Oryza sativa Japonica Group: one gene and its partners. The protein of the gene in region 1 binds, or shares a complex with, the protein of each later gene. Links are inferred from orthologs where the notes say so. Each region holds a gene or a part of one and is shown in the gene's direction. Other genes may lie near its edges. The genes, in order: NAD(P)H-quinone oxidoreductase subunit S, chloroplastic; photosynthetic NDH subunit of lumenal location 3, chloroplastic; NAD(P)H-quinone oxidoreductase subunit O, chloroplastic.

The links.
Region 2: NAD(P)H-quinone oxidoreductase subunit S, chloroplastic (region 1) and photosynthetic NDH subunit of lumenal location 3, chloroplastic share a complex: the UniProt entries of both Arabidopsis thaliana proteins name them as parts of the chloroplast NDH complex. The link is inferred for Oryza sativa Japonica Group from reciprocal best matches to the Arabidopsis thaliana genes NdhS and PnsL3.
Region 3: NAD(P)H-quinone oxidoreductase subunit S, chloroplastic (region 1) and NAD(P)H-quinone oxidoreductase subunit O, chloroplastic share a complex: the UniProt entries of both Arabidopsis thaliana proteins name them as parts of the chloroplast NDH complex. The link is inferred for Oryza sativa Japonica Group from reciprocal best matches to the Arabidopsis thaliana genes NdhS and NdhO.

The regions. Positions count from the first base shown.
Region 1 is NC_089041.1:5,276,726-5,279,512, reverse strand, and holds NAD(P)H-quinone oxidoreductase subunit S, chloroplastic, read left to right. Parts: upstream 1-1,139; 5' UTR 1,140-1,230; coding exon 1,231-1,968; 3' UTR 1,969-2,193; downstream 2,194-2,787. UniProt on the Arabidopsis thaliana protein: NDH shuttles electrons from NAD(P)H:plastoquinone, via FMN and iron-sulfur (Fe-S) centers, to quinones in the photosynthetic chain and possibly in a chloroplast respiratory chain.
Region 2 is NC_089041.1:312,319-315,332, forward strand, and holds photosynthetic NDH subunit of lumenal location 3, chloroplastic, read left to right. Parts: upstream 1-1,347; 5' UTR 1,348-1,421; coding exon 1,422-1,689; intron 1,690-1,825; coding exon 1,826-2,226; 3' UTR 2,227-2,407; downstream 2,408-3,014. Other genes in the region: kinesin-like protein KIN-14N, read right to left, coding at 2,723-2,890, 2,984-3,014. UniProt on the Arabidopsis thaliana protein: NDH shuttles electrons from NAD(P)H:plastoquinone, via FMN and iron-sulfur (Fe-S) centers, to quinones in the photosynthetic chain and possibly in a chloroplast respiratory chain.
Region 3 is NC_089035.1:42,962,868-42,966,407, forward strand, and holds NAD(P)H-quinone oxidoreductase subunit O, chloroplastic, read left to right. Parts: upstream 1-1,452; 5' UTR 1,453-1,517; coding exon 1,518-1,758; intron 1,759-1,908; coding exon 1,909-1,964; intron 1,965-2,090; coding exon 2,091-2,156; intron 2,157-2,271; coding exon 2,272-2,313; intron 2,314-2,391; coding exon 2,392-2,451; intron 2,452-2,548; coding exon 2,549-2,578; 3' UTR 2,579-2,881; downstream 2,882-3,540. Other genes in the region: phosphatidylserine decarboxylase proenzyme 2, read right to left, coding at 25-104, 250-480. UniProt on the Arabidopsis thaliana protein: NDH shuttles electrons from NAD(P)H:plastoquinone, via FMN and iron-sulfur (Fe-S) centers, to quinones in the photosynthetic chain and possibly in a chloroplast respiratory chain.

The DNA.
Region 1 (2,787 bases):
CAAAATAACTCAATATAGGATAGGATGTTACATATTCTAAGACAACGAATCTAGATTGAGTTATTTTGTGATTCTCTCCATCCCAAAGAAACCAACCTAAGAGGGGATTTGACCCCTCCCAGTACAACGAATCTGGACACTACATCTCCTCTTAGGTTGGGTTTTTTTTTACGGAGGAAGTATTTCTTACGGATAGTAACTTTAGGGGCCTATTTATGAAAAAAAATAAAAAGGGGCTTAAATGTAAAATTTTCAGTCGAAAAACACGAGGTCCTCATCCGAAATTCCTAATTGGCGACTGGTCGCGTGCCCCCTCACCCCGCGCGGATGGACGCGTGGCGCGCGTAGGAGGGGGAGGGGGCGCGGCGGCCGCGCACAGTGGGAGGCCCGCGTTCTTTTTTTTTCGCCGGTTTTTATGGTTGTTTTCTTCGGTTCTTTGTTTTTTTAAAAAAAAAACATCACATATATAAAGTTTGTATATACAGTATACAAAGTTTATATACATACGTATATAAAGTTTATATATATGCGTATAGTGTATATATAAAATTTATATACGTGATGGTTTTCCTCTATTTTTTTTTATTTTTTAAAATGAACATATATAAAGTTTGTATATATATCATAAACTTTGTTATACGTTATATATAAACTTTTGTATATGCGTATATATTTACATATAAAATATATTTTTTAAATAGTACTAGTAGTATATAATAACAGTAGTAGTGGTGTAGTGGTCCTAGTTACCAGTACTAGTAGTACTAGTACTAGTTCTAGTTAGCTGTGTTTATTCTAGAGTAAAGTTTAGATTTTGGTTGAAATTGAAGATGATGTGACTGAAAAGTTATGTGTGTATGATAGATTGATGTGATAGAAAAGGACTGAAGTTTAGATCCAAACTTTGGATCTAAACACAGCCTTAGTAGTAGTAGTTAGTAGTACTCCAGTTACTACTACTTCCTCCGTTTTACAATGTAAGTCATTCTAGTATTTTTCATATTCATATTGATGTTAACGTGTAATAAATGCTAGAATAATTTATATTATGAAACGGAGGGAGTAGTAGTTTAAAGTAGTACAGTGGTAGTAGTACTAGTAGTACTTTAAGTATATACTGTACTCCGTATAGCAGTACCAGTCGCCCATTAGCCACCCCCGGTCCTCATCCACCTAGGCTTTAAAGGCTTCGTCACTTCCACACATCCTCTGCTCCGCTCTGCTCCACCAATGGCGCCCACCACCCCCGCCTCCTTCCTCCGCCCGCCGCCGCTGCCCCACCACCACCACCCCCGCATCGTCCGCCTGCCCCCTCCCTCGGCGACCTTCCGCGTCGCTGACCTCCTCGGCGGCCGGGGTCTCTGCAACGGCGAGGTCGGCATCCGCAAGGAGCTCGCCTCCGACTCCCCCGCCGCGCCGCCATCCACCACCACTTCTTCCGACGAGCCCGCGGAGTCGCCACCGCCGCCGCCGGCTGCGTCCGGGGTGGACCCGGACGCGTTCGACAAGGAGATGATGGGCCTCACCGGCGGATTCCCCGGCGGCGAGGTCGGCCTCAAGGACTTCGTCGCCAAGAACCCGCCTCCCCCCAAGCCGGCGCACAGGAAAGGTCTCGCCGCCGCCGCCACGGTGGAGCGGCCGAGGGCGCCGGAGCTGCCGCTGTTCCTCCCCGGGATGGTGGTGCTCGTCAAGAACCCCAACAACGCCTACCACATGTACTGCGGCATCGTGCAGCGCGTCACCGACGGCAAGGTCGGGGTGCTGTTCGAGGGGGGGATCTGGGACAGGCTCATCACCTTCGATCTCGACGAGCTCGAGGGGAGGGAGAAGGGCCCGCCCATGGTGAACCCTAAGTCCGTGCTGCTCGAGTCCCTCGCCGCGGAGATGGAGGACGATGTGGCCAAGGAGGAGGAGGGAGAGGAGGCCAAGAAGAAGAAGGAGGAGGAAGGCACCGCCGCCGCGGCTTGACCACCATTGCTGCTTCTGCTTCTTCTTGTATGTATACAGCTATCTATATTTTCTTAGATGATGGAAGTGAAAGGGGTATATATATATATATTATCTATTCGATGAGTAATTTCGAAGTGAGTAAATGTGTTGTTGTTAATTGCTATATGTACAGTTGGAATCTTAGTGTGAATTGGCACTATGAAACAAACGATTCGGAGATAAAAGTTTAGCTTCTTTGTTGAATTGCTATATGTTTGATCAATTTGATCACGTTTGGTCCGGATTGCTAGTGAAATGCCTACAAGGGCACCAGTTGCCATAGTTCATTATGTTGGTAGGATTAATTTTTTTTTTTACAAACTTGAATTATCATCTCTTGCTTCTTGAAGCGAAGAGGCTATGACAGTCAGGTAACCAGGCTTTCATGATTGTAAATTGTACAGAGTATGAATGTTCAAGTGTTCGTTATTCCTGACATGACTTCAAAATCCCGCAGTATTTCGCACAGCAACTATCTATGCATTGTAGTTTACGTTTGCCTGATAGCTGGTTTCCCATGATTTTTGTTTATTTGAAAGAGTATATGAAAAGATAGGGCCTTTACTTCTATATAACCTGCCTTACTCAGGAATAAGTGTAGCAGCAGATTTAAAAGGATGGTAAAGGAAGACAGTGAAGTAACAATAATGATATAGTGTTTTGCAAACAGAGTACAATTTGTATTGATTACCACCATCTATATCTATATCTATACTAATATAAAAAGGAGTTGTACCCCTCCAATCCTACGAGCCAAATCACTCGGATTAATCCCTACCGTCCATCCGCGCGCACGAA
Region 2 (3,014 bases), about 5.0 Mb from region 1:
CGCATCCTCCAAATTCGAAACAGTTACAAATCGATTTCTTCTATTGTTGCAAAGTTTCTACTCACGGGGTAGTTAACCATGGTCAAACTTGTTGACGTGTACAAATGGAATCACATGTAGGGATAGATATCGAGTTGACTCGGCTCGGCTCATCAACAAGCTCGAGCTAGCTCGTTAAGCTCACGAGCTAGGGGCAAGAGACATAGCCGGCGAGCATAGGAAGCAGCTCAACCTCGCCTGCACTTCAAGTCTGCAACTAGGGGAGGAGGGGAGGAGCTTGACGGCGGAGAAAACGAGCTCGAGCTTGAGCTCGACGGCGACTACAGAGAGGAGCTCGATGGTGGAGGGGATGAACTCAACCTTCACAGCTCCGCCGACACTTGGACAGTTCACGGTTGGACCACGAGGAGGAGGCGAGCTCGACGGCGGGCACTGGGGGAGAGGCGGAGAGCGGCGGCGGCAGGCGCTCGATGGGGGTTGGCGGCGGCGGCTTGGCGCGGTGGCGATGGCGCTCACACGGCGGCGTGGCGCAGCGCCGATGGCGATGGCCGAGATGCGGATGCCGAGATGCACCGAGCGCCCAAGCCGCTGATGCGATGCGAATGCGATATGTGCGAGACGGTGGTGGACAGGGAGTCAGGGTCTCAGGCTGAGGTGAACTAGGGTTTTTTTTGATGAGTCTATTGGGCCAATGGGCCATAATGTATGTGTGCTGTTAGCTGTGGACCTGACTTGGCCTGGTAACCCCATAGCTCGTTAAGGCTCGCGAGCAGCTCGAGCTGGCTCGTTATCTCTAACGAGCTAAGATGCCAGCTCGGCTCGTTAGGAAATTCAAACGAGACAAGCCAAGTCGAGCCTGTCACGAGCCGAGTGAGCTAACGAACCACAAGCTTTCTGTCCACCCCTAACCACATGTAAATGCCTTGGTTTGCACCAGATTGAGAGGAGGAAGAGAGAAGATTGAGAAGATACACAAAACGAGGTGAGACATTAGCACATGATTAATTGAGTATAAACTATTTTAAACTTAAAAAATTGATTAATATGATTTTTTAAAGCAACTTTCGTATAGAAAATTTTTACAAACACACCGTTTAGTATTCGGGAAGTGTGTGCGTGGAAAACGAAACAAACTAACTCAAAATCACTGAATCACCTCCTGCAGAATAAGAAGATGGTGGAGGCATTATACCAGGTTTAGCGGTTAAGAGAGACGATTCAATCAAGAGCGAGAGAGGAGGGAGGCAAGTTAGACTAATTCCTTCATGCAGCCATTCTGTCGGCCCCTAGGAGAGGCAGCCCCATCAAACCGAGAGAAATATCTATGTGGTGCACTTTTGCAAAGGCGAAGGTTTTCCTCATCCTCTCGTGGCATCGCGCGCTATCCATTCATTCCCTTGCTACACTGACACACATCCTCGATGGCCACTTATCTCCAATCAGCAGGCCTCACCGCCGCCACTGCCAGCACCAGCCGCCTCCTCCGGCCAACACCACGGAGGCTGCTCCTCCTCGTGGCGGCGTGCTCCACTGGCGGACGGAGATCAGCCTGCCTCTCCGTCGGCCTCGCAGCCGCCGCCGCCACCATCTTCCAGCATCATCCCGCCTGCGCCGCCACCGACGACGAGCCGGCAAACAATGGGTGGTGGCTCACCGAGTTCCCTTTGCCGGTGCCAAAGATTGTCAACAGTGAGTAGTAAATTAATTACCATTACACACACAAAATATATAAATATAGTGATTGCAATATATATATATATATATATATATATATATATATATATATATATATATATATATATATATATATATATTGTGTGTGCAGAGGAGCTGAACAATGGCGAGACGGGGAGCCGGACGTTCGTGAGGAACGGCATCTACATAGCCGACATCGGGCCGAGCTACGCGGCGCACGCGTACAGGCTGCGGAGCACGGCGTTCGACCTGCTGGCGCTGGAGGACCTGCTGGGCAACAACGCCGACAGGGCCAACTACGTCACCAAGTACCTCCGCCTCAAGTCCACCTTCATGTACTTCGACTTCGACAAGCTCATCTCCGCCGCCTCCGACGACCAGCGCCCCCCGCTGCTCGACCTCGCCACCCGCCTCTTCGACAGCTTCGAGCGCCTCCAGAAGGCCTGCGGCACCAAGGACGACACCCAGATCGGCTCCTCCTATGCCGACACCAAGATCATCCTCCAGGAGGTCATGGCAAAGATGGCCTAGTGTTTCTGTTGGTGTACTAGCTAGTACTGTATTTCTCTCACTTTACTTGTCATACATACATATATATATATATATATATATATCCTCCTCATCACACACATATTCATATTCACATCTACGCTATGCAATATAACTTCATACTCAGTAAGTACTAAAAAGCAACAGAGCATTTCAATTCCAATTACTTGTCTGTCTTTATCATCCAAACAAAGCCAGCCCAACACAACACAGGGCACTTCTCCAATAAAATACAACCAACCTCACATCTTGTTACTACCACTGCACATTGATGCAGCCACAAATTAGATACTACAGTACTATCTGTAATGTAATGCAATGCGATGCTCGTACAATCAACAAAGCCACATGCCAAATCAGAATATTATACACACCCTCTAAGCAACCAACACACGGAGGGGATGCAAATGATCCATTGCATCCCTCAAACAACACACAAATACAATTAGTCATGGACATTCATTTTGTCCAAGCCAACTCATCCTTGCGCCAAGCTACGCACTTGGGTTTGACGACGAGGGATGCCAATCTCGCACGAGTTCACCCGTGCTGCGAACCGTAGCGAGCAAATTGACTCCCCTGTAGACGACACCTCTGGAGACAGATTCACAAACATAAGTGTCTTCGAGTCTCCTCCAAGGCATGGCTGTGTCCAAGGGGAACAAAATCATTCACACATTATAGCCACGGAAACTAGAACAAGTTTGCAGATATTCTTAGCTGAGTGCTTAGAATTTACCTGTAGCAAGTACGTTAATTTTGAGTTCCTG
Region 3 (3,540 bases), on another chromosome or scaffold:
TATTAGATGAAAAATATGCTCAACTTGTCAGACTTCTCGGTGCGGTACGTGCGCTCGCCCAGCGAGAGGCACGCGATGAACTTGTCCTTGAACTGCATATCCGCCTGTGGCCACCAACCAAATCAAAACAACGCGTACAAAACCACAGCAGCAGCGTACACAGACGGAATGAATCAAAACCACCGATCCCCAATTCCACCCCCCTCCGCTTCGCAGCCGCAAGCACACACACCCAACCCGGCCCCGTACCTTCACTATCCGGATGCGCGCGATGCCGGCGAACTCGTCGACGGCGATGGCCCTCCCCGTCCCCGACTCGGAGGCGTGGGCGTCGCCACCGGGACGCCCCGCGCGGTCGCGGTGGCGCAGGCGGAGGCGGCGGCGGAACCGCTCGAAGCGAGACGGCAGCGGCGAGGGCGGCGACTCGCCGTCGCCGCCGCCGCCGCCGCATGCATTGTGGCGCGAGGGCGAATGGCCCATCTGTCAGTGAGATGGAGTAGTTGGACTCGACGGCAACGCGCAGGCGCAGCGAGAGACTTGAAAGGCGATGACCTTTTAAACGCGAGGCAGAGTAGGAGGAAGGGTCATCGGGTGGTCCCCACATGTCATACAGATAATAATTAATGGCAGTTTCCACATGGCAGTTGTTATACATCTGGGAAAGGCAAAAGGCCGTACCCAAGCAGGAGTCGCCTGGGTGTTCGTTAGACTGACATGTGGGGCCAGGATATGCTCGGATCATTCACTACCTGGACATGCGGAAGAAGATTCATGATTTTTTTTTGCTTTTTTCCAGCGCAACCGTCGCAAGACAAAATAATGGTACGCGTGGGGCCGGTTTGATCGAATATTTTCGAAGGGTTGCTATGTTTTGCTAAAGTAGAGGTCAAATGGGATGGATCATGGATGGATGGGGACGTTGAAAACGCGGTGGATTCATTTGAGGAGGAAGGATCCTTGGCATCGGTCAATTGTGCATGTTACGACAAGTGCCACAAACCAGCAGAAGCAAAGGTAGAAGATGACCATTGCAAAAAAAAAAAAAAAGGGGGGGGGGGTGTCCTCCTAAGCTTAAGCTAGGCTTTGCATTGCTCTCAACGCTTTTCTCCCTTCCACTTGCCGCTGTTGTTTACTCTTTCCAAGCTAAATAGCGACATAAAACTAAAGCGGAATTCCTCATTTGCTCGCTCATTCGCTGAGGTCGAGCATACAACAATCTAAGACGGTGTCATGATCCATGACCTTGACTCCTCCAATTCTCCTTTATTTTTTCTGTCTATCTCTCTCTCTCTTTTCTTTTGCTAATTCATTCATATAATATAATCATCATATATGGGCCTTACCCAAATGAGGTGAGCTGGGCCTGAAGCTTTGTGACAGTTGGCCCAAAACTGAGAGCGCTAGCTCAGGCCCAGTGGTCACCTTATCTGCCGCGTGCAATTCATGTGGCACATATTTACGTGCACTTCGTCACTTTGCTTTTTGCCATTGCCATTGCCAAAGCTAAGCTTCTCGCCATGGAAGCTCTCCTCTCCTCGCCGCGCGCTCTCTTCTCCGTCACGCCAACCGCGTGCTGGCCGGCGTCAGCCAGGAGGAGGAGACGTGTTGCTTCTCCTGTCAAGGCGGCCGCCGCCGCCGCCGAGCCGGCCGGGGAGGAGAAAAAGCCCGCCACCGGCGGCGCCGCGGCGGCGGCGGGAGACGGCCAGGCGGCTGCGCCGGCGCCGAAGAAGATCCTCAAGAAGAAACCTGTCTACTCGAGTAATGAATACGCTTTGCAACTTTGCATTTCAGCTCTGAGTTCTGAACAAGCATCAAAGCCATTTAGCTTCTTGTTTGTTTTTTTGTTTATACTTGATTAACCAATCCATTTATTTTCATCCAATTGATTTGGTTGATGATGCGCCACAGTGAAGAAGGGCCAGATTGTGCGCGTCGACAAGGAGAAGTACTTGAACAGCATCAACGTAAGCACACTGATCGATGCTACTGCATAGATGCTTCATTCATTTCTACTCTTTGTGCTGTAATTTCAGTCTATGATTTCCTCCCCTGCACATGATTTTTTTTAAAAATTTGTTTCATTGATTCAGTATCTGTCAGTTGGACACCCGCCTTTCTTCAAGGGGCTAGACTACATATACGAGGACCGTGGCGAGGTAATTATTTAGCCCATCTTACTGAACCTGAAGTTAATTTCAGCTAATTAAACCTAGCAGTAAGAACATCTTCGTTCTAGCTACGGTCATAATCTTGTTCGTCATTACCGTGCAGGTTTTGGACATCAGAATCTTTGAAACAGGGGAGTATGCCCTGGTGAGTCACCTGCCACTTCATTTCTTCTGTATATTTTGTAGATTTGGACTTCTGAATCTCATTCATATGTTTGGACAGATCGCTTGGGTTGGAATCCCAACTCCACCGGCATGGCTGCCAACTTACATGCTCATCAAGGTAATTACAGTATCTCTAAGTCCATCACACATGCAGCATTGCCAAAATGCAGAATGTACCATCATTTGACCACTTAATCTTAACACTATTTTTACAGTCGGATAAACTCGACTACGAGAGAATATGATATGCACAGGATCGAAGGTTGCGTTCAAGCTAGCTCAGCAATCGGGTGGGAGATCGGTCCTTGGCCTGCCAGACTAGCGTTTTTTCAGTTGTTTTCTTCCCTGCATTGCAGATTCTTCCCCTATTTCGGTTCTTCCGACGATTAATCTGCAGATGTTTTCAGTCGGTTCGTGATATATGACAATGTGTTGTATATAGATGTCAATATGAGGCGATTTGCTGTTGCCTGTTGCTCCGCATCTAAATTAATTATACTGAACTGAAAAATTTAACAAAAGTTAAGTGATGATATTCAGAGCTATTCAGATTCATTTTTTGAGATGGCTAATTATCGTGCCATCTGATCGTATTCTGTAAGCTTCAAAAAAAAAATGTTAGAGATATACTGATATAGAATAGGCTAACGGATGCACATACCCATGAGAACGTCTCTTTTAAACACGTTCGTAATGCATGAAATAACTAAAAGTTCTACTGAAAGAATACTCATTGTACGTGTAACTGCGGATATCAGAATTTAAACTCTAATGAACATACTTCTTCTGTACGCACAAATCCATCACTAGGCCCCGTTTGAATCCTCTAGGAAGAGAGGATATTTTTTTTTTGATATTCGTGGCACGCTTTTCAAACTGTTAAACGGTGTGTTTCGTGCGAAAACTTTCTATACGAAAGTTGTTCTAAAATATTAGATTAATCTAGTTTTTAAATTTGTAATAATTAAAACTTAATTAATCACATGTTATTACCACCTTGTTTTGTTATGAAGCTCTTTTGGAACGCATGTTATTTTTACGAGTTAATCCCATGAAAATTTGAAATATGTATGGATGGTTCACAAGAAACACAGGGATTTGCTGGCTCGAAGTAAAATAAGATAGAAGTAGAGGGTAAAATGAATGATGCATTAGATTTGTTAGAAGGAAAAATAATAATGAAATGACAGTTGAGATCATACATGTT